Linked DNA regions of Tamandua tetradactyla. The protein of the gene in region 3 interacts with the protein of the main gene of each other region in a pairwise test. Links are inferred from orthologs where the notes say so. Each region holds a gene or a part of one and is shown on either strand. Other genes may lie near its edges. The genes, in order: EGLN3, GOLGA1, ATF4 and BFSP2.

Region 1 (8,091 bases), on a different chromosome or scaffold from region 3:
TAACTTTAAAAATCGGTCTAAGATAAATGCATATAATGGCAAATGTTGAAACAGGGTGATGGAAATTTTTTATACTAACCTCTCGACATTTGTGTATGCCTGACAATTTTTCACAATAAAAAGTTACAAATGCGTAGAATGGTATGATTTCTAAATGTTGGGTTAATTTCTTTTTTTCCGTTAATTAATAAAAAAAAAGTTACAAATGCATTTTTAAAATAAATGTGCAAATTCTGCCTTTTAAAATTTTACTTTTTACTGAAAACCTGATTGAAGAGAGAGCAGGAAACTAAGTTCGTATCATTACTTTAGGAAGTAGCTCAGAATAATGGATACCACTGAGGGAAGAGAAGTGAACAAAGATGAAATGAAGGTGAAACTAATATAAATCAAATGGAAATGGAATGTGTGCATTTCTACAATGCTTTAAAAATGAGTTTCAAACAAGAGACCCAAGTGCTAGACCTTGCTTAGGAGACTTCTGTATATAAGCATATCAGGCTTTTAAAAATGTTGACTATCATTTTTAGCTCAAGCCTGATTTGCGTTTGGTTCTAAGGGGCCAGGAAATGAATATACCAATGTAGAGGTGAATTTTCTGAAGGACAGGAATGAAGATTTTTAAACAGCCAAAGGAAAGCGGGACATCTGGGTCTGGACAGATGGTGCTTAAACCCAACTCTTCAGTGAACAAAATGAACCTTCTCATTTTAATTTACAATCTCCTTCTGAAAGTTATCTGCAAAGTTACTTGTTCCACCCAGAAGATAAACCACTCCTGAAGAATCATATCTAGAGATTTTTTTTCCCCCTCACTTTGAGGTACACAATACTTGTCATTCAATTCGTCAAGTTAAAGTGTAGCCTGAAACCCCACCCTCATCCATTAAGTCAAAGCAAAAGAATAAAATTTAACTTTCAAATGTTTGTGACCTCTTTCTAGCAATTAATTCTGACTTCCCTTGGAGCAGATTCTGTTCCTAGTATCCTGGGGGGAAATTTCCTAACTCTAAATTGCAAAGAACCTTAAAAAAAAACACAAAAAACAGATAAGCCATTTGTTATTCCAGGTTGAAGTTCCATGCAACTTTGCATTGCTGAGTAACCCTCCCCACCACCCCGCCCCACCCAGTTCTCCCATCCCAGGAGACAGGCAAGGTCACAGTACAAAATCAAAGCTAATCAAGACAAACGACTTTCTAATCCACCACAAGAAAGATGGAAGAGCAAAGAAACACTGTAATAGCAATCTTCTACAGAATTCAGCTAACTGAATTTCCCTCAAATCAAAGTAAAATCTAGAAAGCAGAATTTTCTTCTAATATTTACTTGATTTGATTATTTATGATGCTTTTCAGAAACCCTGTTCCTGCCCTCCAGGCTTGAAAGGAATATAACAACCTACTTGTCCCCTGCTCCATTCACCCACCCCAATCTTTCACCTTATGGGAAAATGAGATTACAATGGTTGGTTTTATCACAGGATCAATCTTGAATCGAGAAATGCAGATGTTTTTAAGGAATGGGTCACTGCTGGTATGCTTTATTTGACTGTTTGAATAAAACTTTCCTATACTTCAGAGTCCGCCATAAAAGAAGTGCAAATCACAGCACTGTCACTGGAAAAATGGCTGGTCTATCATTTGAAGAAAGGCAGCCTGTCTTGACCATCCCAAAGTAATCTAAGTGCAACAACATCATGGTACCTACATGTTCCCTTACTTCTGCCAATCTCCCAGTAAACGTCAACAAGATAAAATTACCACTCAGGGAGCCACTTCTGGCTATGTGAGCAAAGAAATCATTTCTTTCCATCATTTCTTGATTACTCTCTCCTGATCACGTAACCGGTTGTTTTGAGTGGATTTTGCCATCAGTTGACAGTGGCGAATGTTGGACACATGTTCACAACCAAGTGGATGGTTTAATAATGTGCTGGGTCCAACCAGTCAAGGGTAGCAGCCCTCAGAATGAAGAAGGGACCTTTCACTTTATAATGGAGGTGTTTTACCCTTTCACAAGCCAAACTCTTTCCACACCTGCCACACACTCCACAAACCAATTGCCACGTTGCAAAATCACAGCTCTCTCCAGAACTCTTTGAGTGCTTTTGTAGGAACCCCTTCTGAACACAATGAAGGGGCATCCTGGATGAGTTTAAAGCAGGCATTTAAGCTAATGAGTACACGTGTGCCTCAGATCACACACAGTGTTTCTAATATCCTTTCCTTCGTTTGGATCTCGGAGAACGGAAGTCTCTTAAAATCAGACCAAAAGCCACGGCTTGTTTAGCTTTTAGCACTCACTGGAGCCATTATTTCAAAGTCAACAGAAGACCATTAAAATTAAACACCTGAGCCCCTTACCAGCGACTCTGGCTCAGAGGTGCCAGGAGACAAAACTGACTTCTTGATTAAAAACTTGCAACCCTGCGAAGGCGGCAGACAACTGCCTCCCGAACGCTCCCAATCCCTGCGGGTGGCAGCAGCAGCGGGGCGCCGGTGCCCGCGTGCGTCCTACCTTAGACCTCTCCTTGACGTAGTATTTGCCCAGCCGGCGCCCGCAGTACAGGACCAGCCTGTCAATGAGGGACAGGAGAAAGCTGATGGCCTCGCACCCCTCCTCGTTGCCCCCGATCCACGTGATCTGGTCGCCCCGCAGGTGCCGCTTGGAGACTCCAGCGCGCGGTCCCGCCAGCTGGCCGTCCCGGAGGACCCCGTTGCAGTGCAGCTGCTTGACGCGCTCCAGGACGCAGTCGCCCACCACTTCGCCCAGGAAGTTGTCCAGGTAGCAGAAGCCGACCTCGTGCAAGTAGGGCACGATGTACTCCAGGGCGATTTTTTCCAGATCCAGCCTCATGATGTGTCCCAAGGGCATCTCGTCCGCAGAACCGAGGTCGGGGGCCCCCACTGTGCACTCCGGCAGCGAACGAGCTAAGCGTGCGCGGAGAAGAGGCGCGGGGTGCGTTGACTAGGGGTTCAACTACCTGCGGCGGCCACGGTCCCCGAGCCACCGCAGCCCGGAGAGAAGGAAAGTTGTGCGCAACTCTGGGGCGAAGGGATCCGGTCCAAGGCCCAGCGGGAGCAGTGCAGGGCTCCACGGCGCAGCGCCGACCTGCAGGACTCAGCCCTGGACTGGCCTGGAGAGAAGTCGGAGAGCCCCTTTTAGCAGAGATGCGAGGCCACCGCGGACGCGGCGGCGGCGGCGAGAGGCAGCTAGAGGCTGAGGTCCTACTCCTGAGCTGTCCCGCCTCCGGGACAACCCCTACTCCCGCCCGTCGTCCCCGCCCCTTCCCTCCCTGCCCTGCCCCCTCCGCGGAGGCTCTCCGCGAGCTCGGCGCCAGCCTGGGTTGTTTGTCACACCGAGGGGGGCTGGAGCACAGAGGGAAGTTTCCAAACGCTATCGATTTGCATGTGCTTTTGCATAAACCCCCATGACAAACTCGAAAATCTGAAGTGTCGAAAATCTGAAAGTGTCGATGAAATTAACGGCATAGACAATTAATGTTGCCACAATCTGGGCTGCTCACCTCACAGGCTTTTGAACAAAAATATTAAACCCAGCAACAAATTAGATATGTCAAGCCGTCGTCTCATTCTAGCTTTACCTCGTGCTTTTATTATTCCCCTTTCCCCTTTCCCCTGCGGTGTGACCCTGGTCAGGGGCTTCAAACCCCTGAGAGGATTGGAAGCAAAACAGTGCTAACTAAAATTAGCACCTTAGCAAACATTTTCCTAACTCCTACTACGTGCAAGTCCCTATGTTCTCAAAGAGCGGGAATGTGCACAGTGAAGAAATACTTTCTGGGCCATATCTGATCGAACCCTGCAAATGTTCTGTTTTTCTGGATGTTCTCAGACATTTACCTTTCAAACTTCCAACGAAAAGATGATGTTCTGAAATTTTACCTTCCAAATTAATCAGATGCTCAGTATAGGTATGCCCTCAAAAAGATAAAACTATTCTGGATCCATCCTCTCACTTTTCCCAGCAAGTGACCGCATCACCCAGAAGGGGTGAAACTTTTAAGTATTCAAAGGTCAGCTGATTGCTTTATGAATTACTGGTCTTTCCTACCAAATCAAACAGCAGAGATCAGAATCAAGAAAGGAAGTTTCATAAATTGCATGCATATCTGTTGCCTATTTTATAATTTTCCCATTTGTTTGCACTCTAATTCTTCATTTAAGTTGCACAAAAGAATATACAGGTCTTACAAGTACATTTATTTCATACACAATCTACTACAGCTTTTTCACTTCTCTTCTCCTTTAACAGCCCTTCCCTTTCTATGTCTGAAGAGAGAAATGTAGAGATACAAACTAAGTGAAGTCTAGACCCAGAACAAGAAGTAGAATAAGAAAGGGACATTGTTACTATATGATGGGGAAAAAAGCTGACAGAGGCACATGGGTGCTGGGAGACGTCAATGTTGGAGCGTTTAAGAAACTTTGGTAAAATTTCTAGTTATACTGAGAGGAGGTTCCCTACCTTTGGTAATTAGTTGGCACCTTTCCCCTGGGGTAAAGGCCTGAACCGGCCAGCACTCAAGGACTTGTCCTCCAGATTCCCATAGCAGGTCTGTGATGGCCAGAAATCATCATCCTTGGATCCCCAAATCCGGGCACATAGTAGGTGCCTAAAAAAATAATTACTGGGAAACTGGGGGCTGACCCTGAGCTATGGCCACTGCCATGTGTGGTTCAGACGTGTCTGGGCCTGTGTGGGAGCCTGCTGAAGGAAGCTGCTTGCATGCGGAACTGAAGAGCCTTCCAGAGTATTGACTGGACGGAAGTGGCAGGCCGATCAGCCAGGTCCCAAACCAAACCTCAGAGGCCTGTGGAGAGGGTCAGTTAGGTGTTATACAGGATTTTTGTCTCTTAGATTTGTCTCCCCAGCCAACCGTGGTGGATGCCCATGCTGGAAGCCAGAAACCTAAAGTGAAAGCTGGAGGAACAGCCCATGTGCAGCAAGGAGTGAAATGGATATGCAATACCAAAAGGAAGGAAGGTCCTTCTGCCTGAACCTCACATAGCCAGGAATCCCAGTAATCTGGGGCATTATAGATAATGGGATGACCAGGGGACACCTAGTTGGGAGGCAGCCTGATTGTAGGTCCTGGTAGGCAGAGGCTTGTGGATCTGGCAGTTTGGGAGACTGTGTGTACCTCAGAAGTAGCTATTCCTGAAGAGGGCCAGAATTAAAAGTGGGGAAAATGGCAGATACCTTTGATAGCTGGTTGAATTTTTTCTAGCTGAAGGTCCTTTATAAATATACCTGATGGTACTAGGAATAATTAGGAGGGAATTTATAGAACACCAGAAAAAAGTAAAATACAGAAAATTATAAACCTGCCACCTAGAATGAACATGTTGACCCCACTCTAAAATCCCAAGATTAGGTAAATTTGGCTTACTATTCAAATAATATTTGAATAATTTCAGAGTAAAGTTGTCACAAGAGGAAGGGGAGAAAATCTTTAACTAGCCCTTTGCTATATAGTTCATCCACATTGTAACAATAATTCTAAGCAAGTTGTAGTGACTGTTTGGTGGCCTTAAAACTGCTCTAGAGTACTCTGATTGCAAAGTGTGAGCAGTTTATAGAAGAATTCATTTCTGTTGGCACCACTCCTGCTTGGCAAGGGCACCTATTAATCAAGAATCTCCTTCAGCTTGGGGCTGCCCATACTGCATTTGGCAGAGAAGACAGAGATACAGAGACTGGCAGAAATCACAGTGTGTGATTACACAGAGGGGAGCAGACAGGCTGGAGCCACACACAGGCTCTGTAACTGAGCATCAGAGTGACAAATCTCAAGCTAATTTTTGAAGTGCATTTGTTTTTGTGACTTTGCTCATTAATTTGAGTCATTATAGTAATGAATATTAAAATACTTTTTCATATTGATAACTAAAACAAATTCATTTCCCTGTAATTTAATTACAACAACGTTGTCTTCCAGTGAGCATCTGCCATACAGATGCAAGAATTTTCAAGCATGTGGGTGAGGAGGGTTGTTGAATTTCTTTACCTTGGAATTCAAACTTGAAGAGATCTTAGGGGTCACCCAGTCCAGCTTCACTTTCATATAGAAAGCCATGGCCCAGAGGGGCTGGACATTAAGCTACTTTTCTAAGTAAGATGTTTCTTGTGAATGGAAGAGGAAGCTTGGGATGCTTCTGTCTTTGCAGTTAACAAAGCGATCCAACTCACCTCTTTTTAATTTTTTTTAATGTTATTTATTTGTTAATGAGGTAAAACTCACATTTCTAACATGACTAATTTGGTGGCATTTATTGCATTCACACCATTGTGCAACCACCACCTCTATCTAGTTCCAAAACATCTTCATCACCCCAAAAGAAACTCTGTACCATCAAGCAGTTAATCCCAATTGCCCCCTCCTACCAGCCCCTGACAACCACCGATGTGTTTTCTGTCTCTATGGATTGACCTATGCTAGATATGTCATATATATGGAATCATACAATGAATGAGCTTTTGCATCTGGCTTCTTTCACTTGGAGGGTAAGCCACCTTGTACCATGTATCAGTTCTTCATTCCTTTCTTACGGCTGAATAACATTCCATTGTATGCATATGCAACAATTTGTTTACCCCTTCTGACAGATGGACTCTGGGGCTGTTTCCACCTTTTGACTGTTGTGAACAGTGCTGCTATGAATTTGCAAACAACACTTTGTTAAGTCCCTGTTCTCAGTTTTTTAGGGTATGTACCTAGGAGTGGAATTGCCAAATCATATGGTAAATTCTGTGTTTAACTTTCTAAGGAACTGCCAAACTGTTTTCCATAGTGGCTGAACCATTTTACACTACATTTTATAATTTACATGCACAAGTACTGTATGAATTTTCCATCACATCCTTTCTTATTTATGAAAAAGTGTCTAATTTGTTTCGTTCCTTCAAAATTCTGTTGTGCCTGAAGTTCCTTCCCTCCTAACTAGCCCCTAAATATTCTTTTTTTGTGTTTTTGCCCATATATCATCAAGAAATTTATTATTATATTGAATGACTTAAGGTAGCCAAAGGCTATTTTATTTATTTATCCAACACTTTTGTAATACTTAGAATATTCCAGGCACTTCAATAAAAACTTTACAAATATTACCTTGATTCATTCTTATGTCAACACAAAGAAATAGATACTATTATTCCCCATTGTGAAAATGACAAAAATGAGGAACAGAGATATGGAATTTGTCCAAGGTCACACAGTAAGTGAGTTTATAACAACGCTGGAAAAATTTTGAGAGATTCCAATATACTGAGCTCAGGAAGGAAAATATCAGTTTGAACTGCTTGCTTGGAATAGAAATGATTTTGCCATTAAGTCATCTTTTTGTTATAACTCTTTGCTGGAACGCTTTAACCTGCAGTGACAACTTTAATTATCAGTTTCCTTACTGATGTTGGGTCCATAGGTAGATAAGCAAAACTTACCATAAATTATTTAGTTGACTACATTAGGAGTTATTTTCCAAACTACAAATTAGGGTTTCTCCCTTGCTCCATACCAATTACGGCCCAGTGTTTCCAGGAATCCAACATAAATTCAGTTATGTATAGGTCTGTTGAGACTAGCCATTGGTAATTTGCTACCACCTCAGTCAGCTGTGTTTCTCAGTTTTACCCTTCAGGACACAGGAAATGCAGTTAATTTTAAAGGAGCTGGCAAAAAATAAGAGGAGAGTACCTGAAGTGAATTTGTATATCTTGAGCTCACAGGTATGAATTGGGCTTAGAGAAAGAAGCATCTGATTATGTCCCTTTCCCTGTGGAGTCAGGCCTTCCTGTTCCTCTCCAGGTGTAACAGGACGGCAAGGAAAGTGAGTTTCAATATCAATTCTTAATTCTTTCTCAGTCTATGGTTAAACTCAATCCTCTTTCATTTTCTCTTTCATTATGCTGGCCATGTGCAGATTCTGGGACATGTGACATATCAAGGATATGCATTAATATTTTCCAATCCAACTCTCACTTGAGCTGAAATGTCTAAAAAGCTCTGGCTAGAAACATGACAACGATAGTAGAAGCTCAGTAGTGTCAAGCTCAATATGGGATATT
Region 2 (7,263 bases), on a different chromosome or scaffold from region 3:
GTCTTTTCAAATGCTATAATCTTAAAGGAAGCAACATTTGAGACACATGTTCAGTTAAAAAAAAAAAGCAACTCCAAGAAGACTACCTATGATATAATGCTCTTATAAAGTTCAAAAATTAGCAGCACTAAGCAATAAATTGTTAAAAAGGAAGTGAATAATACACACAAACTTTAGGATAGTGGTTATCCACAGAGATGGGAAGGAGAGAATGAATTAAGAAAGAACATACAGTAGCTTCAAGAGTATTGATAATGTTCTATTTCTTCAGATGGGTGAAGATTAACAGGACTTCATTTAATTTTTATGCTTTATACTCTATATATACATTGTATACATTCTTTTATATTTATCAGGCATTTTTTTAAGTCATCTGATTTAAGAGGATCCCGCCACATGCCAAACACACTTTAATCCTTAGGCATGACAGTTCCCTAATACAGCAGCCTCCTCATTTTCTGGAATCTCTCCAACCACAAGGGTACTTTAAAAATAAGAGACACGTGGTCATCCATGACATCTTTGACAAATTTCTATCTACTTTCCCAATAAGACAGTACACGCTGGCTAACCTCATACCACAACTCATAGACCTAGTTAAGTAGGGAGAAAACAAGTCCAGGCATTTTGAAAGATTAAATGTAAAAGAAGATGCACAAAGCATATTGATGGAAAAGAACTATAAGAGGACAGCGTAGAGAATGTGGAAAGGGACTCACAGAAAAATAAGAAAATGATATAGAAAGGCACCCCAGAGAAAGAAAAAGCACATGTGAAGGTCTTGTTCAGCTATAAACTACAAAAGCTATGAAATAATCATGCAATTTAAAAAGAAAATATTTCAAAAATTTCCTGCAATATTATTTAAACATTAAATTGAGAGGGCACCAAATACTCAAAACTACCAGGGAAGATACTTACAAAGTCATCTCCTGAGTCAGCTCCCAGAGAGGCAACAGATTCCTTGCTCACCGACCGGGGGATCCTAGTAGCACCTCCTGGTCTCTGAGCAACAGCACTCTCTTCTGCGATTTTCTTTTTTAGTTTTGCAAACATCTTTGCTATGTGGATATTCTGCACTATAGACTGGCTCTTGAACCACCAAATAGTCCTTAAGGCCAACAACCAGGATTCAGTGACAGGTGCCTAAAAAGTTCCAGACATCGGAGCCAGCTGCATTCCCATTTAAATGTGTGTAAAAGGGCTTATGGCAATACAGTATCTAGAAATCAGATGAAAGAGACAACTCTAAGTTAAACATTGGAAAGATTTCAACCTCTGAAATCTGTTTCATATTTATGTTAACCTTCAGGTTTCAAAATTTAGTCTCATAACTTCACATGTACTCTTAATAGACCACAAATACTAAACATTTAAAAAAGCACTCTGGTACTTCATATGCATACAAAGATACGGAAATCCAGTCTTAGAGAGATGAAGTAATCCACCCAAGATCATGTAGCTAAGTGGCAGAGCTGGTATCTGAATCCAGGTCTTTCTGACTTACAAGTCCCTATTCTTTTTTTTTTTTTAAATAATTATTATTATTGAAAATAATAATAAAATGGCATGTTGGCTATAGCATACAGCTATAGCATTTATAGAATTTCCCACGATAAACATAGCATCACATAACGCTTTTAAATCCTTCCCTCAATAAAACTAATTTGTTTAATTACACTTTGGTGCCTTTTTTAAAAGATGAGAATAAAAATATATGTAACTCAATATGGGGAAAAGCCTCTGTAACAGAGGCTAACAACCTAGAAAAAAGCATGGTCGATTTTGCATAGGTATCAGAAATCCCTAAACTTTTCTTGGAAATGTTGAGTGGTGCTCTTTTGAGTTTGATGAAATTAACCCAAATCACACTTTTCTTTTCTTCAGAATGTTTGAAATAATATTTAACATCAGATTAATGCATCTTTTCCTCCCACTGATGTATAAAACACTACTATTCTTGCTTCAATCTTAATTTTTCATGAAGGTTGTCTAGGTTCTGCTCTAAGATCTACAAATGATTTTTCACCCCTTTAGATCATCCACTTAAGTCTGTGCAATTTTTCAAAACTTGACCTTCAATGTCTGTAAACCACCTACTCACCTAGCTTATCTACTAGATTTAAAACAGCCTGGAAGTCAAAGCATTCTGTCCTGCGTGAAAACAAAGACAAAATACGTTGGATATTTCCTTTCAAGTGTGAGGCCTCAGTATTTGGGGATGGTGGGAAGAGGGAGAGTGGGTTAAGGGGGAAAAAATCCTGTCATTACCACCTTCAGTAGTCTAACCTCCCTTACCCTAGTCTCTTTGCATTTTTAATTTTCTTAAAAGCTACACTTATGGTACAAAGAATCTCTCACTGCAGTAGGTCCCTAAATTCACTTCTCGTTGGGAGCCCTGAGCAAAACAACTTGAAAGAGATTAAGGTTTCCCAGCTGATTCTGACAGTCATACATCATTTACCTGGCCAGACCCTGGGATATATGGTCACTGACCTTTGACTCGCACTAAGAAAGCCGCTGAAAAAAATGGCAAACTTGGGTAAACCAAATGCCCAGAGAGGCAGGCAGGTAGGTACCTGACCAGGGCCACCCGTAGCAGTTTGAATCACACTCCTTCACTCTCTGGAAACCCGCCAGGGTTTGGGGCTGTCAAACAAGGCTGGGGCCCAAAGCCTCTTCCTTTTGACAGCAGGGAAACTGAGGCCCAGAGAGGCGGAGTGACTTGTCCAAGGTCGCGCAGGGAGAATCCTGGATCCCGAGGCTCTGGACGCCCAGGCCGAGGCAGCCCGCCGACACCACCCTCGCCCTTTCAGCACCCTGGTAAGGCCCCCTGCCCAGGGTCTCGGGCACCCCGTCCGGACCGCTCTGGCGGCAAACCGAGGCCACAGGGCAAAAGAGGGGCCTGCTCGGTACCCGGAGCCCCCGCCTGCGCACCTGCCACTGTTGGGGCAGCCGACAAAGCCCCGCCTCCCGGGCCTCTCTTGAGCGCGGGACCGCGTCACCAGCCCCCACAGCCAGCCGGCCGGCCGAGCAGCGACCCGGAACCGCACCTCCACCAGAACACCGGAAGTCGTTGCTCGCGCATGCGCTCGTGCACTTACTCCGGGGCCTTGGGTGCGAACTTTCAAGCGACGGTTGGGCCGGAACGGCCGGACTATGCAGGTTTGGTATCTGACGCTGCTTACAGCCTGCAAGCGACGTCAGCGAGCTGTGGGGTACACAGATTACGATTGTTGCCGAGTAATTTCTTCCCTTCTTTTTATTTGAAAGTTGTGCGGAGCGAGGAAAGTATGAGGGTCTCGTGGTAAAAGGGAAAGAATTTCACTGGTGTGGTAGGGCTAAAGTCGGCTGTGCTGGATAGAAATCCGGGGCAACAGGGAGCTTCCATTCCATTCCTCTTCGCGCATCCCAGTCCACTGCATCTCACATGTCTGCCTTGTCACTAGGTAGTACATAATCACCGACTGTCTGTGCCTCCTTCTTCTGGAGCCTTTGCTCCAGAAACTAGTAGTGGGAACTTGCGCCTTGTACTAGTGTTTTAACTTGTGTGCTTCTGACCTACTATAGGTTGTACATTTTATATGGCAACCCGGAACACACATAGTGTATACCTTTATTATGTAATGCACTGATACACTATTAAAAAGAGAAGTGGATGAGAGTCCACTTCATTAATTTTATTATCCACTTAATTGTTCGAAGTTACACTGCAAACTAGTAGCGGACGTGAGATCTGACTCCTCAGTGCCACGCCAAGCATTACAAGTTAATAGACATCTTGTTCTTGCGTGAGACCTAAAGCCAGTCCGAGGGTCAGCAGCTTCCACCTCTGGCCTCTGCTTGTTCATTTCTGAGCACTAGAAGCAGGACAGGGAAAAATCAAGACCAGGACTCAGAAGAAATTTACAAACTAGAATAATAAGCATCTAATCCACAACCCTAAGATAGTTCAAAGCATCTCAAGTATTGTCTGAAAGAAGCACACCATAACAGGTAAGTGTCTAAGTCGTCAACAATACTGAAGTACCAAAAATTTAAGCAAAACTGTTTATTTTTATGTTGATGATACACTTATATATGTGGATTCAAGATACAAAATTCATTTACAACAGTTCACATCTGATGAATGTAGTCACATTCCAAGAGAACATTTATCAATGCAAAAATGACTTCAATACACTGACAACAAAAATCAAATGTTGTATAATTTGTTATTCATTAAACCTCAAAACAATTTTTAACTTTCCATCCTCTAATATAAAGCGCCCTTGAGGTGGCAGGCACTATACAACAGAAGAAAACATTGGAAAGACAAGGGCCTACTGAATCTGCTCTGCAGAAACAGTGTTGACTCTGAAATTCATTTAGTAGTTACTGAAAGGCTGCTGTCCTTTGTTACATATCACATATCATACAAAAGTTGAAACTGATGAGCTCCAGAAAACAAAATGATTCAATAACTTCTCAATATCTAAAACCTATTAAGAATTAACCATAACAAAGCAGAAAAAGGCTACTGTAAAGGAACAAAACAGGAAACATCCTTGTTTAAGAGTATGTACGGTTTAAGCAAATTAGAAACAGGAGACAAGATTTTACAATACCACAAATGTTCAAGTCAAATGCTATTGCCAATATAATTTCCCCTTTAGTCAACAGTAGTAAATAGCTCCTTCAAAGTTTATCCTACTGATTAATAACATGTATAAAAATGACTGAATCCAAATGGTTTGCTGTCTAACAGAGCTGAGTTGATGGATTTTGTTCTAAAGTATTAACCCACAGTGTTCAAATTTTAATACAAATGAGCAACAAGGTAATGTCAAGGTAATATTACAGTGATTGGCAAGAGCTGGATCTAAACAACCAAGCTTCATTATTTGCACTACAGATTAGCAGCACTTGGATAAGAACTGTTAAGAGAAAATGATTGTGCTTCAGTCTCTTGAGGAGAACTAATGTAACTCTATAATCCTTAAAGTATTACATCTCAGTTACAGACAAGCACAATTTTTAAAAAAGTATTTCACACCACCAGAAAATCAAGGAACTATATCCTCCAAATGTAATTTCTGCTATGATTTAAACAAGTGCATTTCTGCCTGATATCCACAAGGTACAAATGGGTTGCCATTATTTTCAAGGAAAAAGAGTTCAAGCATAACTTATTTTAACTCCTATTGATTATCCTAACCTTTGGTGATGATTTGTATAAAGCAAAACAGTACTCAACCTTACGGTGAAAATGGCTCAGAGATAATAGTAATGTGGCCTGAAATTAAAATAATCAGTGCAAAATACAAAATGACTTAAATTGCATCATGTGATTCACTGATTAATGAAACCACTGTCTACACTGATGCTACATAATGAATATAACTTATTTAAATAAATTCCTTCACTGATAAGCTGTATTATGAAAATGTTAGGACACTGCATCTGCCTTTCCTATTATCTAACACCTGTCTACCTCATCTGGAAGAATCCTCAAAAATATAGGACTCTGATTGTTGAATAGAAAAGTTTATTTCAAAACAAAAAGCATTTGGAGAACTAACCATATGGTCTATGTGGCAAAAGGAATGCATCCAGATAACTATAAAAAACCATGAAAATCAAGTTCTAAAATATTTTACTGATCATTAGAAGTTCTTTTAAATGATGTTATAATAAAGAATCAAGAGTAAAAACCAACTTATTCTTCAAGAAATAGTAATAAAAATTCTTATTGCCCTAAAACATTTTAAACATTTTTCCCTGAAGATTTTTAATACATCACAATACATACTTCTAATTTAGAAAAAAATTAATAATGTGCAAAAGAGGATGGGATTCTTTTAAAATACAGTGGTCATTCCTCTATGTTTTGGAATTATTTACTTTGGGTTCATATACGATCATTTCACATTTTACAATGGTTGATCATACTGATTTGATGTTTGAGGAAATTTATGGTTCAAGTTATAATGTTTACAAATCTCAATTTTCAGCTGTGAACAAATAGACATTCATAAGAGCTTCAAAACAGGATATTTAAGTAAAAAGACAAAATGTTAAAGTTTACTGAAGTTCTGTGGAAAGGCTAGCCTTAATTCCTTATCTTACTCAGAAATTGAAACAATCAGTTTATCAACTTTTATTCTGTAAGACTACCTGAAAAGAAAAAAATTTTTTTTTAAATCTGACCCCTGAAATAACTTATGTTATGTCTCAATAAACAATTAGCCATACCTAAAAGGATGACTGTCTTAGGATATAGACGGCTATTGTTCATTTAAAATAGGAAAAATACTCCCAATTTATAGTCAATTCTAGCACCAAATTCAGGTTTAACTAAGTGGATCTGGAGTGTATACTTAATACAGTGTACTTCAAACTATTTAAAAGTCCTGAATCTACTGTTTGACTTTGTTAAAACTTGCACTACTTAGAGTAGTTTGATAACTAACTTTAAAAGCACAGAAGAAAATAAAAATATTATAAAATTAAGAAATGGATGTTTAAATCAAGTTAAGTAACAATGTTTTGTAGAAATGGAAGTCTTCTTAAAAATCAATATTACACAAAACTAGTAAGTGAAAAATGCCTATTTTAACGAAAAAAAAATTTCATGTCTACAGCTATGGCAACAACAGATTAAGTTATACTTAATATTATCCCCCTACATCATTCTGATACTCTTCTCTTCTAGGTGACTGATTTCAGTCACACATCAATGATCTTTTCATAAACACAAGACATGCTTAAATAGATCTCTGTGTTCAAAACTTAATGAGGCTAGGATATGGTGTAATATTATGTTTTACAATTCTGGTTTTGGAGAAGATGAATTGTTTGAAAAAAAATGCAAAATGCACATAGTATTCAGGAAAACTGGGAAGCCCAGCAAAATAAATATAAATATCAATGTATAAGTATACAGGAGATATAATAAAGGAGGGAAAGTCTTGATTTTCTAATTCTTATCTCATCTGACTACAAAGTAACTGGCTTTACAAATGCTAGGGTTGGAGATCATATTCACAATGTTAGCCTTATCTACTGAACTTTTTTACTGCTGCCACTCTCCTGAAATTAATGTGCACACTGATGCTAAGTCAATTTAATTAATTTTTAATAGCATAACATATCCTCTGTTACTCTCTAATTGCAATAAATTTTTAATTAAAAAACAGAATATCAGACCCTGGGATGTTTTCACTGATTTTTCAGAAATAGTACATTATCAACATTTAAGAAAATGCTATTATAAATTTTATT
Region 3 (6,886 bases):
CTGTGTGACTTCATCTGGGTGCTGTACGTGATAGACACTGGCACAAAGCTGCAATTGGAACAGGTGGAACGAAGGATGCTCCTCCCAGTCATCCTACAGGACTAGCAGTAGCTTACCATTCAAGGGATACCCCACCCTCGTTCCTGGAAGAACACCCAGCCAACTGCCAAAGTTCTGAGTACACACTTCTACTCATAACTGGCGGCCCAATGCAAGCCACCTGTTTATACCACCAGGCCATATCAAATCACACCAATAGGAAAACACCCCTAGTAACACAAGGTAGGTTAAAAAGCCATCTCCAGGGAAGCTTTAACAATGGATGGTGACATCACTGAATTGCCTGACTGGATAAAGTGGTAGATTTTTGGTTAAGAAAACTTTAGTATCATCCAACCCTAAACCGCTTTAACGGATGGATCTTAGTACAATCTGAAATATCTTACACAAGGTTAAACATTGCTGGGGAAAGAGTATGGTAGGTATATGGGAATTCTGCTTTCTGCATTTTTTGGCAAACCTACAATTGTTCTAATTTTGAAATGTAGTTCCAAGATTTATTCAGAGGCAAAGAAATCAGATACTTTCACTACAAAATAATTTATTACAACACATTCATAGCAAGCCTATGTACAAGCAAACACACTCTGGACTACAAAACCTAGGGGACCCTTTTCTTCCCTCTTGCCTTGCGGACCTCTTCTATCAGATCCTTCAGATACTGGATCTCCTTTGCCAAGGAATCCGCCCTCTCTTTCAGAGCCTCATTCTTCTTTTCCAGCTCTTTACACTCTCCAGTGAGGGCCTCCTGCTCTGCCCTCTTTTTCTGGCGGTACCTAGTGGCTGCTGTCTTGTTCTGCTCCATTTTTTTCAACTTCTTGTCCAATTTCTCTCCCTTTACTTTTGCTGCTACCACTTTCTCCCCAGGAGGGTCATAAGGTTTGGGGCGGGTTGAGCCACAAAGAGTACCTGGAGATGGCAGGCTCCCATTTGGAGAGCCCCTGGAGGTAGAGGGGCTATGCTTGGGAGAGGCCAGATAGGGCTCAGGGCTCATACAAATGCCACTATCGTTATCTGAGGGGGAATCCTCCTCCTTTATGCACTGAGGGATCACTGTAACATAAACAGAGTCCACTTTCCTCTCTCCTTCAGAGATGTCCACCTCACTGCCTAGTTCTAAACTAAAGGAATGATCTGGAGTGGATGACAGGGCCCCAAGAGAATGGGAAAAAGGTTGGAGGAACGTGAAGGGGGCAACATGGTTAGTTTTTGGTAAACTTTCTGAGAGATGGCCAATTGGGTTCTCTGTCTGGGAGGGCTCCTTATCCTGGACTAGGGGGTCAAAGAGATCACAGGTGTCATCCAATGTGGCCAAAAGCTCTTCGGGCATGGTTTCTAGGTCACCTAAACTGAAGAGGGCGTCAAAATCAAACTCCTTCAGATCCATTTTCTCCACCATCCAATCTGTCCCGGAGAAGGCATCCTCTGCAAAAGATGAGAGTAAGAATTGCAAGACAGCCATCCTCTATCACCAGAACCCCTGATAAGTGGACCCACACTGACAGATAAAGGACTTCTACTCACCCTTGCCGATGTCTGGGCCACTGACCAACCCATCCACAGCCAGCCACTCGGAGGAGCCCGTCTTAGCCTTGTCGCCGGAGAACCCATGCGGTTTGAAGTGCTTGGCCACCTCCAGGTAGTCATCTAAGAGACCCAGGCTTTCTTCAGCCCCCAAACCCGACTGGTCGAAGGGGGACATCAAGTGCCCCGCCAACACCTCGCTGCTCAGGAAGCTCCTCTCGGTCATGTTGCCGGGTTTTGCTGAACTCGGGGAATGTGCTTAATTCGTAGGTGTCTTTGTCGGTTACAGCAATGCTGCTGCTGAATGCCGTGAAAAGCCTGGGTAGGAATCCGAAACAAAGCACCATTGGAGACGACCTTGACTGAGAATTTCATCTTTCTATTCGTGAGGAACGGTGGCCAAATTGGAAAATCACTGAGCTGTCCTCTTAGAATGGGGGCCATGGCGTTCCAGGGTCAACCTTTCCCGCTTCCGGTGTTAGGAAACACAAAATGGAGGCCCACGGAGACTCGGCTATTCCCTCACCGGCCACCGAGAGAAGGCGCTCCAGCCGCACGTCCAAATACGGCCAGAGCGGCCGGGGCCCCGCCCCGCTCCCGCCCTGCCCGCCGCCATCTTGGCCCCCGCCACGTTTCGCGGAACACAGGGTGGGACCCTCGACGCGCTGAGGGGGCGGCAAGCCGAAGAGCGTCTGCCCTCGAACCCGTGCGCTGCTGTCGCGACTGAGGGGCGTCTCGGGGACACTAAATAGAGACCACGCGCCTCGGGCGCGCTCGTAAAACCGCTTCCCCCTCCGCGACGCTGCCCTGGCTGTAAGGCCACGTCCAAGTCCCTCCGAACCAGGGACGAGAGGAGCCCGAACAGCCGGGCCCCGTACTTACGCCATGGCTTAAGCCGCTGGGGGTTGCCGCTGCAGAGCCTGGTGCTGCTGCCGCTGCTGCAAAAGCCAATGCTGCCGCAGGCACTGCTGCCTCTAATACGCCATGGCGGCTTCGGACCCTGCGGGAGGGGAGGTGGGGAAGCCCGGGGCACTAGCTGATGTCAACATATATGGACAGAGGCGAAATGGCGGAGGCGCGCGCAGCGTGGGTCCTTTATAGACTTTACCTCGACAGTCACATCACAGAACGCATCCTTCCGCCGCCGTCACGTGACCGTCATTACCAGCCCCTCGTTTTCGCCTGTGTGACACACTTATCGGTTCCAGCCCACGGCCTTGATGTCTGAGGTATAACTAGGATGAGAAAATGAGTTATTTTAAAGACCTCACGAAATGAGAAAAAGCGCACTCCTTTACGAGGCCTCTAAGATCAAAGAGTCCACCCTTCCCCCTCCCCCGCCGCCGGTGAGCGCGGAAGGATCCGCCAACACAGTGTAAATTCGGTAGGAGGGGAGAGAAAAGCCCTTCGTAGGAAGGCCGATGTCACCTGGTTGTCGCGCGAGACGGTAGCTAGGGCGCGCGTCGAGTTGATTGGCCCAGGCATGGTGAGTCATATATATCTCCTACTTCGATTGGCTCAAGTCCTAGGTGGGCGGATTACTCGTTTAGGAGCGTCTGATATGCGCGGGAAGGGGCGGGGCGGCCAGCATGTTTCCCTCCGCTCAGCTGCGCTACCCACTTACTTTTCTCGGAATTCTGGCCAGACCGCGCAGATTTCCTGCCTTGGGCAGCTCGATCCCAGTGCGGTACGAAGTTCCTTCCTGCCGACTTCCGCGAGGCGCCGAAGCGGCAATCGGGTCCATGTCTGAGTCGAGCTTTCTGTCCCCGGATTCCCCCACCCCCTCCGCCCGTCTTGTGCTCCTTCTTCTGTACAGATTAGGCAGAGTTCAAACCTGGAACGGCCCTCGGAAGTTACCCGGCCCGGAAATTACTTCGTTTTACAAAGCGATCCCGTAGCGGGTGCCGACTCAGTCTATCAGGGACACCATTAAATAGCTAATAAAAAATTGCCCCCGAGAAGGCTTGGGAGTCAAGTGTATTAATATAGGAAAAAGTGAACGGCAAACTTATACTAAAAATGCTTTGGGGCACTAACACGAAGTTAGAGAAGTTGAGTAGAACGTGGGCATGCTGAATAATCCACCGACTTCAGTAAAAACAAGAAAACCCAGCTTTTTCTTGCTGTGCAGGTTCTCCTGGCCGGCCAGAGAGCCGCTCCTTGTGAATTCTCTTTAGGCCAACGAGGGAGGGCTTAAGACAAAACTAAGCAAAAAAGGGAAGCCACTTAATGTGTGTATTCACCCCATGAGATCTCTTAAAAGTTGAACGGGGAAACTGGATGGACACTCATTTTGGGTCCTCATCTTGGTAGGTCACCTGATCCATGCCTGCCTCTCTCAAAGGCCACCTCCAGTAAAGTCGAATAAGATGCACAATCCTATAGCCTAACTTGCACTTTTACGTTATCCATTCTGCTAAAGTAAGTTTCCTATTAAGGCATGCAGTTTTTCATAAGGGAACTTTTTTTGGATTTTATAGATTAAATTCTCCTAACAAAGGATTTTATTCGACTGGCATCTTGTAGACTCTTGAATTACTTTCAACTAATTCCCAGGCATAGCCAACTTCCCAACACATCACTAATGGCCCTGTGAAAAGCTCCAGGACCCACATACACTTACTGGTGTTTGGCGTTTCTGGAACCTGCAGTGTGAAACCTCGCTGCAGGGCCCGGGGAGGGGCAGGAGGCAGCAAAAGATTCGTTTCCTCCCCCATCTCAATGAGCCAATCAAGGATCATTGTTTTGAGGGCTGTGATGTTGAGGAACTTGGGAAGTACTGTCCTAGAGAACTACCGATCATTTGTTGACTGCATTCACTCTAGCCCAGTTCTTTCACAATGGCAAACAGGCCTAATGGGATGAGGCGTGTTGCCCAGTCAATAGTTTCCACTAGAGGCAGCATAGGATAGGGACTAGAAGACAGATTTGGGGGGCCAAACCTGAAAGAATCCTGGCCTCACCATTTATTAGCTGGGAGATTTTGGCTAAGTGACTCACTTCTTTGATCCTGCTTCCGCATCTGTAAAATGGGGCTAATGGAGGTATACTTCTAAGGATGAAATGAGATCATATATGGAAAGCACTCAGCAGTGTTTGGTACATGGTAAATGCCCAATAAAAGGTTGCTATTATTACTATTATGACTCAGATTTTCTGACCCGGACTTCCCAATCTCCCCCCCTCCCCCCCACCCATACACACACACACAAAATCTTTTACATCATCCTCCTTCCTGAGGGAACTCTGCTAATCTTTACTGGCAAATGAAGCCAGAAATTATGAAACATCAAATACACACAAGGCATACTGTATGCTGAGATAGAAGTGTGGCATTTTCCTTCCTCCTAGGGAATCACAAGTTTTGGAACATACATAAGTTGTCTAGTGTCCTGGGTACAAAATATTAAATTGTCTTGTGTTCTAGTCTTTTACAAGGTGTCCTGGGGGCCCACGGGGCATGGCCTTTTTGCTACAGCAGTGCTGACAGATGACCATGCAGATAGTTGAGAATTAAGAACAGTATTTAACACTGCCCCAGTTTTGATACTGAAGAGGTAATGGAAGAATGACTCCTGTGGCAGCTTGTCCCTTCCATTTTATTCTGGTAACCAAGATTAAATACTTCAAAGGTTCTCCAAGCTGAAAATGGAGACCCAGTACCATTCCCATAGGAAAATGTCTCATACCACGCACAAAAGTCAAAGTTGTTGGAGATTTTTATTTTCTTCTCCCCACTCTGTGGAAGGACATCATGTTCCCCAGCTTTATTTCCTCCCTCAAGGAGGAAAAAAAATAGCAATTCTCTAGGTCTCTGGGTTAAGATGCTCCTATATTGTCCTAGCCAAGACAGGACAGACTGACGACTGATTCCACATCAACTGCCACTGAAGGACAGCCATGTGACAAGGCAAGTTGTGGATTCAACCTCTGAGACCAAGAATTTAAAGATTACAAGGTGATCAAGATGAAAAGGTAGATAATAACCTGTAGGCTGTTAACCCCAAAACCCACATGTCTGGTATTTTGGTCACTTAGTCACCAGTATCTCAAAGGGCTACAGCCTCACAGCCTGGTGCAGGGTCAGCACTAACCTCAGTGCCTCTTACTCTTCTTCTTGACCTTTAACTTTAGGTAGGAAGGGCAGAACTCTAATCCTCCAAGAGCAGAAGTTCACAGCCAGGGTCAGAGACCCAAGTAATGAATAACTTAGCAGAGGGCTCCTGACACATGCAGTGATCCCTACTTACACAGTCTCTCTTGGAGAGGCCCTGATCCTGAATCTGATTCCTCGAAAAATTTTGAGCTCTTACCTTGAGTGGAATACAAAGGAGCAAAATCATCTCATTTAGACTGGCAGGGGCAAGTCCAAGACACTGTAGGCCTCTTCAGTGCAACTTTTCCAAACATGAGCTTTAACTTTTTTTTTTTTAAGTCACAACCGATCATATAAAGAAGAATACTGCTGTCTGAATTCTTATTTTAGGAAGGGGTGACAGAAAAGCAAAGCAAAAAAAAAAAAAACCAAACCTTTAGAGATTATTAGGGTTTTCAGGATAATGGGTGTATTATTTTTTAACCATTAGGCTGAGTATATGGTTTGCTAACCTAAATGGTGCAAAAAAACCCAATCTTCTCCAAACAGAGTAGGAACAGATACTATAACTTCAGGAAAAGGTGGGAGTTATGGAATAAAAAGGCAGGGTGGAGGGGAAATCCACTGCATCTGCATTCTAATTCTACAAATTAGAATGTTATCCCCTTCCATTCAAAAAATCTCAAATCACTTAATTATTTTCCACATTTTATGATAAATATGGCAGCCAAGAGAGTGGCTTGCCTAGTCAGAGGCAGCAAACTCTCTAGGACCTACGCTGAGAATTCCCACTGCTGGTTCCAATTCTGAGGACTTCTAAGAGGTTCTTACTGGTATTATGGCAAAATGATGGTTTTTGGTTTTGTGACATAGTTAAGAGATGCTCTTAGAAGTTCTTTAACAGAGGCAGTAAACTCATTTCCCCTGTGTATTTGGCTTTGATTTGGTCGTGATTTTTTTTTTTAATGTATTTGTTTTTTTTTAAGCTCTCCTTCTAGTGTCTTATATGAAGCTTGATCAGAAACACCAGCTTGGGAGAACTGTAAATTTATAATACTCACCAGAGCAGGGAAACCAAAACCTTTACCTTGATGAAGAAAAATCCCTGCTTTTCAACACTCTATCAAGTCCTCCCTTTCCTCTTCCTTCTCAGGGACACCAGATAGGTGTATGAGAATTATCAGCGACTGGGCCCCAACCCCTGCC
Region 4 (8,161 bases), on a different chromosome or scaffold from region 3:
GGTTGTGACCAGAACCCTGCTAAGGCCATTCCGGCGACCTCCTGAGCAGAGGGTTTCCCCTTTTTAGGTCTTTCTGTTCTTGGAGCTGTGCCGAGAGGCTGACATTTTCACTCCCCACCTGTGGTGCAGTCACGCACAGATTCAGATGCGTTTGGCTCAGCACATCGAGTACTACCAGAGATGGGAAAGTAATCCTGACCGGGCTCTGGTACAGTTTGGGAGTGGGAGAAATTCTCTCTTGAAGAGTGGCTCAGCATGACAGGAGAGGAAGAGAGGTGGGCAGGTACAGGTGTGTCCAAGGAGGAAAAGCAGACAGGTATCCCAGAAGTCTGGGGGAAGGAGGTGTGCAGGGGAGTCTGGGGCCCTGGGCACCCCTGGTTCTGCCCACCTGGGGCATGGGGCCAATTCAGGAGGCAAGGAGACGTTTTAAGAAGCTACTATGAAACTCTGAAAGAGGAGCAAAGAGTGCCCCACACCACTGCATTGCCAAAGCAAGTGTCCCACGTGTATGTTTCTTTAAGAAGGGCACCTCATGAACCCGTCCAGCTCACGCCACCTCCTCCCTCTCTGTCCCCAGGACCAGCTCTCAGAGCCCCGCTCCCCCGCCAACGGCGACTACAGAGACACCGGGATGGTCCTCGTAAACCCCTTCTGTGAAGAAACCCTGTTCGTGGGAACCAACCAAGTGTCCGCGATCTAACGACAGCAGCTCCAGCTTTGCCATTTCCTACTTTCCATTTCTAAATTATAGATACACACAAATATATATATATATTATAAATATAACCTTTGTGTAACCCTGACTTAATGAGCAACATTTTCAGCTTTTTTTTCCTAAGAAGTGTCAACATCTTTTTTATAAGTGTGGTTTAAAAAAAAAAAAAACAACTTTACAGAACGATCCGTGGCTTTATAAAATAAAGGTATTTCTAAGCAAAGCAGTTGCATTGATTGCTTCTCTTGATGACTGTTCTTGAGTATTTGGGGGTCCCTGGAGCCCCAGGCAGGTGAAGGAATAGACTGACCTCCCATGGAAGCTTAAGTCCAAGTTGAATGTTAGAATGGTCAAGTGTGTGGCCTTTTGAGTGATTCTTAAAGCACTGATTCCTATTCATGTTTTTGTGACTCAGTTTCCTCCCCCATCACATGCACACCCATGAAGGGTACCAGGCCGTCTGGGGGGACGATGGCAGATTCGTGAATGAAGCAGGGAAAGGACACCTCATCACCCCGGAAGATGAGTACCCCGGGACCTCGCAGCGGCACCATTTGCTGTCAAGTTTAATTCCATCCCGGAGCCTGGATGGCAGGCAGAGCACACAGGCCTCAGGAACCCACCAGGAAGCCATGGCATCCCAAGGCCACATCCCCTTCGCCCCGTAAGACAGGGCCTCCCAGGCCAGCCGGACACCACAGGACTCCGTTGCCCTGGCGGAGAAAAGTCTTCCCTCTAAGCTCCTTCCTACTTCCCCCCCAACACTGACCTCCGGGTTAAACACATGGCCTTTCTCTCGCGGACGGAGAGCCCAGCCTTCAAGCTTCCCCTTGGTCAAGGATCAAATGTTTACTGGGGCTTTGGTTCGTGTTCTCGAAAGGCAATGGTGTGCCCCCGAGGACCACGTTTATCCAAGAAGCCTTGAGGTAGGTCTGTGATTTTGGAAATCTTCCTCCTGTGATCTTAAATAGCAACATTGCCAAAGCGAACTGGACACCTTGGGAGAAGGCACCCATCCTATCCTTAGAGCATAACAGAAATGCATGTGGCGTCAGTGGATGGACTTGCCACCCAGCTCAGCGTTTTCCCAGGACGCGGCTCCCTGGGCTGTGGCCGCTGCTGCCGGGCCCCTCTGGGCCCTCACCCAGCAGGCGACCGGGCTCAGACCCCCGGAGGCACAAGAAGGGCTTCCGGAGATGGGCTGCTTTCTGTTTATTTTTAATAGATGGTGGCTGGGAGAGAAGATAACTGCTTCGATGCTTCCTTTCTCTTAAAGAAAAATAGTTTGATAGTATATTTTGAATATAGATGTTGTTATAGTCCGGTTGGGAATTGAACTTGAATGTGACTCATATGTTGGTGTCGTTGCTGTGGTATTTTTATCACGGTTTTTTCCTTCCTACATTTTGCATTTAAAGGGAAAAAAAAAAAAAAGATGGTCCTCGAAAATGTGTGTTCTCAGTGTTGTATGACTTACTAGACCTGGGTTTGGTTGCTGTTTTCTTCAAAGACTGTTCAACCCATAAAGAAGCAGATTAAATGTTGTTCTGAGATTCATTTTTCTAACATGCTGCTGTCTGACCCTTTTGACCTTAGCATAACATTTCTGTTAGCTATTGCATTTAACATATCAATGTGCGTGCGTGCGTGCGTGTAGAGCGAGAAATCTGTTTGTAAAGTGAAATCCATATATAATATATGTAATCCAAGATACATATGTTATATATACATATGTGGGTGTATGACTTATTTTTCCTTATCCACAGAATTCAGCTACCATGTATATATAAATAAACTTATTTTATTAGCCAGAGGATTAAGTTGCTAATACATTTTGCGTTTCTTTCATTTTACAATAACTCCTAAGCGTTCCTTAAGCACTACCACCACCGCCTTATGTCCATCTGTGTTTCTTAAAATCTGATTTAACAGTAAGTTGGGTTTTATGAGTGTGATGAGCTAATAGGATTAGCAACTTTATCATTTGATAAAACCAATCCTTTAGAGAGTGTTTGTCATTTCTTCGAAAGAGAATCCCGTCTCTTAGGTTTGTTGAGACGCCGGTGTAGGTTAAGGTGCGTTCCCTCCTCATTCTTCTCCTCCCCAGGGCTCAGTGGATTTACTGTCAACATCGTTAGCACAGAGAGACCCAAAGTCGTCCTGGCCGCTTCAGGTTACCATGCAGGGGCGAACAGCAGTGCTGGAAGATGACACATTCGCAGATAACCTGCTCAGTGGCTTGGACCCTTCATTTTCACCTTGCACGATACATCCTGGAATTAACAAGAGTGCAGATGCTGGGGCCCTGTACTTACCACCTCTGCTGGGAGGGTGTTGTTATGACACATTCTCACGTGTGTCATAGCCCCTTTAGAGTGCCCCAGAGGTATCATTCACAGCAAAAATGTCAAATCTAAATAAACAGGGGTAACCACTGGTCTTTACTTGATCAAGTTAGTTCCTTAATCTGTTAATCAAATAACTAACATTAATATATATAAAGTACCTCCTATGCCATCTCATAGATAAAGTAAAAGAGGGAGAAAAAGAAAGGAAGTGTTTTGGTGTCCTAATCAGGAGCAAAGAAGAGTACACAGACTATTCTAGCAGGTGACCAGGGGTTTTAACTCTGCCTGTGTGACCTTGGGTGGGTCATTGCTCTCTGGATGCTGAGAAACAGAGGTGGTCCTAGATAAGTCACCGAACTAGGAGTCAGAAGAGGCCTTTTCCTAGCTCTCTCTGGACATGAGACCTTGGGCAGGTCATTGAAGCTCTTGGGTTCCTCATTAGAAAATGGGAATAATGGCCAATTGTTGGACGTGTTATGATACTTCCAGAATTGTGCAGTGTGCAGCCCATATGACAGTACATGTCAATCCTGTGCCCATCTCCTATAGTTGAAGTGAGAATTCAGGGAAATAAAGTGTGGAAATCACACACAGCCCTGGGCTGGAGGTGATTTCACGAGAAGTGGGCTCCTTCCCTTTCTCTCACTCGAGGTGTATTCCCATTGCAGGATCTGGAATAAATATCCAGCACTGGTTTTAGTTACCTGGTTTCTTCAGAGCACAATTTAAGTGCAGTGGCTTTTGGGTCCACGTTTGAGGGTCCTGGTTCTGGGGCATCCTCTCTGGATCTGGAGAAGTGATTGCGGTGTGACCCTGAAACATGCCTCAGTGGATGCTGAGGGTAGAAATTAAAACCCAAGAGTCATCAAATCCTAACTTCAAGCACCCTTCAAGAACTTATTGGAAGACCTCTCTCTTCGTTGTTTTTATCTGTTTTCTGAAAGATGGTGAGAGAGAAGCATAGGGGATGTTTGTGGCATCGTAGGTGCACGGCATGTGTGGGACGTGAATTTTCCCGAGGTCCTTATCTAGCGCACAGAGTTAGAGCCCCTGGCCAGTGCGCGGGAAGTAAGGTCCAGAGAGGTGTAGTAGCTTGTCCAGTGCCAAGCAGAGGCCCCACCACACTGAGCTCCCTCTCTGAGGGCATCTCCCATCTCCAAAAGACTCACACTCACACACAAACACTAGACAAGCCTGCCTGCCTCCACTGCCAGGAAGGGATGTTACAGGGCAGAGATGAGAAGGAAAGGGTAAAAGGAAGTCCTATAGGAACCTGCAGCTTCTGCCAGGGTTGAGGGCGGGTGAAGGAAAACTGAACTTAGTTTATTTCTCCTGACTCCCTGGGGCTGCCTCTTCCATGGCTGGTTCACAGCCATTTCATCCTCTGATACCTGGGTGTACATGTGTGCACATTCACACACACACACCAGCACAGGGAGGAATGTAGAAATGCACTGATATTGGGCCTTGAACACCTGCACTGTGTCCTGGCGCAACCCTTCACCACACTTGTGATGTGAGGCCCCTGCACCTCAGTTTACTCATCTGTGAAATGGGGCTATCCATTGCCTACCTTGCACTCTCAGGAAGCAAAAAGCCCTGTCCACACAAGCTCTGATTCTACAGACCCATTTGAATCACCCCCACAGCCGGCACTGGTCCAGCCTCCCCCACCCGCAAACAAAAATCCTGGCAGTCCAGCACATGACCCTGCAAAGAATGCATAAGCGCCTCTGCATGCAGTCCCAGGCAGGACCCATTTCTCTTTCAGTTCAGTGAATGATGGAAACGCGTGGAAGACAGCAGACAAAGCGGCCCTGGGGATAGAGAAGATTCCAGAAAGGGCTGTGACCAGGCCACAGGGACGCTGGGGCTGGAATCCAAAAGCCCCAGCGCTCTGCAAACCTACAGGGCGCAACAGAGGCAGAAGGGGCGATGAGCCAGCGGCGAGAAGCGGGGGACGTGCCCCCCGGTGCCAGCTCCAGCATGCCCCTCCAGAGGCGGAGGGTGTCCTTCAGGGGGGCCCAGTCTTTGTCTTCCCTGGAGAGCCCCTCAGCCTCCAGGGTTACGGTTGCGGGCGGCCTGGGACAAGCACCCCGGGTCTGCGTAGGGATGGCGCCCACCGGGAGCTCAGGTGGCCTGGGTGCCCGCGTGACCCGCCGGGCCCTGGGCATCAGCAGCGTCTTCCTGCAGGGCCTGCGGAGCTCGGGCCTGGCCCCGGTGCCTGCTCCAGGCCTGGAGAGGAAGCACTGCGCCGCCGAGGACCTGGGGGAGTGCCTGGTGGAATACGCCGCCAAGGTGCGCGCGCTGGAGCAGGTCAGCAGGGAGCTGGAGGCGCAACTGCGCGTGCACCTGGAGAGCAAGGCCGCGCACGCCGGAGGCTGGGGCGCCCTGCGCGCCTCCTGGGCTGCCAGCTGCCAGCAGGTGAGTGTCGGGGCCGCACCCAGGGGCGCTGCAGGGGGCCGGGGGGAGGGATGCCGAGGTCCTCCGGCGTTGCCAGGGCCGAGTCAGGGGCTAGGGAATGAATGATCTGAGGCCGGGGAAACTGGCCAAAGGCCGTCATATTTTCATGCTGAAAACTCTCCCCACGGTACGTACAATAAAATCAACAGTGGCTCCCATTTACTGAGGATTCGTAGCGCCAGCCCCTGTACCTGCACCGTCTGCTGTAATGGTCCCCGACAGCACCGTGCAGGGGCTCCATCATTGATTCCATCTTTCAGATGAAAAAACTGAGCACTAGGAAGTTAAGTAACTTGACGGGGTGGGGGGTTGGGGGCTGGGGGTTGGGGGGCTCGGGGGCTGGGGGGGGTGGTAAGGCGGTGGCACTAAGAATCAAAGCTGAATTTTCATGTCTCGGATCTTGCTGTCTCTGTCAGTCTTTACTGTTGAGAGAGGTTTGTTTTTGTTTTTCTTTTGTTTTTTTAAGCCGCCATCAAATTCAGTACCACACCAAATGTCTGTGGGAAAATGGAAAGTGTTCCTGTGTCCATTTATAATAGCCTAGTCCGATAGGAATATCATATGGGCCACATAAGGCATTTGTAAGTTTCTATTAGCCACATTAAAGGAAGTGAAAAGAAACAGGTGAAATTAATTTTAATGTTCTCTTTTATTTAACTCAGTATATCCAAAAATGTTATCATTTCAACATGTAATCTACAACAAAATCATTGAGATGCTTTACATTCGAATGGGACTTTATGCGCATGATGAGAATGGTTTATGTCTGCACTGCCTGATCTGTAACTGCTAGCTGCGCGTGGTGATTAAGCCCTTGAAGTGTGGCTAATGCAACCGAGAAATTGAATTTTTTTTATCTTATTTAACGTTCATTAGCTTAAATAGCCACATGTGGCCAGTGGCTATCATGGGTGGGGCAGCACAGGGGGCTTCAGCTTTGTGGCTTGCTTACTCAGGCAGGCCCTGCTCTTGCCACTCTCCAGGGTGATTCTCTACAGAGCACCAAGCTCACCCGTCATGCCTGCCTGCAGCCTGTGGTCTACTGCTGGGACTCCAGCCAGCATTGCACAATTCCTCTGGTCTCCTGTGGGTGGCTGGCTTCCCCCTACCCCACCCCCAAATGCTGGCCTTGGGGTCCCTGAGCTAAGTCTTCCTCTAACCCAGCCAGGAGCTGCCACATGGCCCCCGCCCCTCTGGGGCCAGCCCGCAACCTCCCAGGAGGATGTCACAGACCCTTGTTCGTGTATTGCCGTGTAACACCGAGCAGCTGCTCAGAGGGCCTCCCCGGTGCCCCTCCTGCCTCCCGTTTCATCCCAAGGTGCTCCTCCCACATCCTTCTCTGTCAGTCAGTGCCAGGCTAGCAGCCCAGCACACATGATGGACACGCCGTCCTCCCAGGCTGTCTGCCCTGCTGCTGCTGTCCACGTGCGTCCATCTGGCTGTGAGGGGGGCCACCTTAGAACAGTCTGGGGCCCGAAATCCTGTCAGCTCCAGGAGGCAGCCACTCGACTTCTCTGGGCCTGTTTCCTCTTCTGTAAGACGGGTACAGAAATGCCTAGGATATTACAGCAGATCCGTAGGTAATTAGTGCGTGGTCCCTGCCCACAGCAGGCCGCCACCCAGAGGCCGTGGCAAGCAGGGAGAGCAGGGCCACCCAGGGCTGCAGAAGTGAGGGGTGGCTGCCAACACCCTCTGTGCCCTACCACTGGTGATCAGAGCCCTAAAAGGGGCTCATTTCCCTCTTAGGTGGCCATAAATGAGGCCCCAGATAGGAAGACAGAGTTCTCTTCTCTTTTTCTTTTTTTTTTTTTTTAACTGTGGACTTGAAGATGCATTTAGACTAATGTAGAAAGATGGAGTTGTTATTTCTATATCAAACATCCCAGGCTTTTAGCCCAGGTTAAGCGCTACTTCTCTGAAAAGAAAAAATTTTTTTTAATTCTACTTATTTAGGAAACATACATGATTTTTTTTCCTTCATTATCACAAAACTGACCTTCACCCTCACGTCCCCCACCATGCCAGAGCATGGGCCGTAGACAGCTCTGCCGACCGTCTGCTGTCCGTCCTGGTCCCTCCACCCAGCCACCAGGACCATCTTTCAGCCCCTGGGATCCAACCACATCAGATCCCTTCCCACAACCCCGGGCTCCCCATCACCAGCGGGACACATTTCTGATCCTGGGATCAGTCAGTAGGGCCTCTCTGAAGCCAACCCTCTGCCTGATCTCACCACTTCATGTCACAGCTACACCGCCTCCTGGGACCCCGGAGCACACAGCGTGTCCTCAGCACCCCTGCTTCTCTGTGATACTTCCTCTGTTCCTTCTGTGATCCGGGACAGGCTGTGCCTGCATCCCCGCAGCAGTTGCCACGGTGTCCTCTAACTATTTGCATGCTCATGTTCTCATCTCTCAGCCCAATTGGGCAAGCATCAGGTCTCTGCACAATATAGAGAGTGAAAAGGGCATCAAGTAGGAGGCAGGCTCTGCCACCTACCAGCTGGGTGACTTTGGGCCAGTTACTTAACATCTCTGAACCTGTTTCCTCATCTATCATTTGGAGAGCATTGTATCGACTGTGCAGAACTGTTCTTGGGGCTAACTGAATGGTAGCATGCCTTGCAAAATCCCTG

The links.
Region 1: the proteins of ATF4 (region 3) and EGLN3 interact in a two-hybrid assay, tested with the Homo sapiens proteins (2 studies listed by BioGRID). The link is inferred for Tamandua tetradactyla from reciprocal best matches to the Homo sapiens genes ATF4 and EGLN3.
Region 2: the proteins of ATF4 (region 3) and GOLGA1 interact in binary tests that used the Homo sapiens proteins (3 or more experiments, as listed by UniProt). The two-hybrid records come from large-scale screens. The link is inferred for Tamandua tetradactyla from reciprocal best matches to the Homo sapiens genes ATF4 and GOLGA1.
Region 4: the proteins of ATF4 (region 3) and BFSP2 interact in binary tests that used the Homo sapiens proteins (3 or more experiments, as listed by UniProt). The link is inferred for Tamandua tetradactyla from reciprocal best matches to the Homo sapiens genes ATF4 and BFSP2.

What each region holds. Positions count from the first base shown.
Region 1 is NC_135340.1:20,112,142-20,120,232, reverse strand, and holds the start of EGLN3 (prolyl hydroxylase EGLN3), read right to left. Parts: upstream 3,227-8,091; 5' UTR 2,878-3,226; coding exon 2,521-2,877; intron 1-2,520. UniProt on the Homo sapiens protein: Prolyl hydroxylase that mediates hydroxylation of proline residues in target proteins, such as PKM, TELO2, ATF4 and HIF1A. Target proteins are preferentially recognized via a LXXLAP motif.
Region 2 is NC_135328.1:47,074,825-47,082,087, forward strand, and holds the start of GOLGA1 (golgin subfamily A member 1), read right to left. Parts: upstream 3,055-7,263; 5' UTR 2,938-3,054; intron 2,923-2,937; exon of another isoform or gene 2,497-2,922; intron 2,155-2,496; exon of another isoform or gene 2,105-2,154; intron 1,223-2,104; 5' UTR 1,057-1,222; coding exon 922-1,056; intron 1-921. UniProt on the Homo sapiens protein: Involved in vesicular trafficking at the Golgi apparatus level. Involved in endosome-to-Golgi trafficking. Mechanistically, captures transport vesicles arriving from endosomes via the protein TBC1D23.
Region 3 is NC_135333.1:32,071,950-32,078,835, reverse strand, and holds ATF4 (cyclic AMP-dependent transcription factor ATF-4), read right to left. Parts: upstream 2,673-6,886; 5' UTR 2,467-2,672; intron 1,903-2,466; 5' UTR 1,811-1,902; coding exon 1,585-1,810; intron 1,486-1,584; coding exon 662-1,485; 3' UTR 585-661; downstream 1-584. UniProt on the Homo sapiens protein: Transcription factor that binds the cAMP response element (CRE) (consensus: 5'-GTGACGT[AC][AG]-3') and displays two biological functions, as regulator of metabolic and redox processes under normal cellular conditions, and as master transcription factor during integrated stress response (ISR).
Region 4 is NC_135341.1:77,189,714-77,197,874, forward strand, and holds the start of BFSP2 (phakinin), read left to right. Parts: upstream 1-4,998; coding exon 4,999-5,487; intron 5,488-8,161.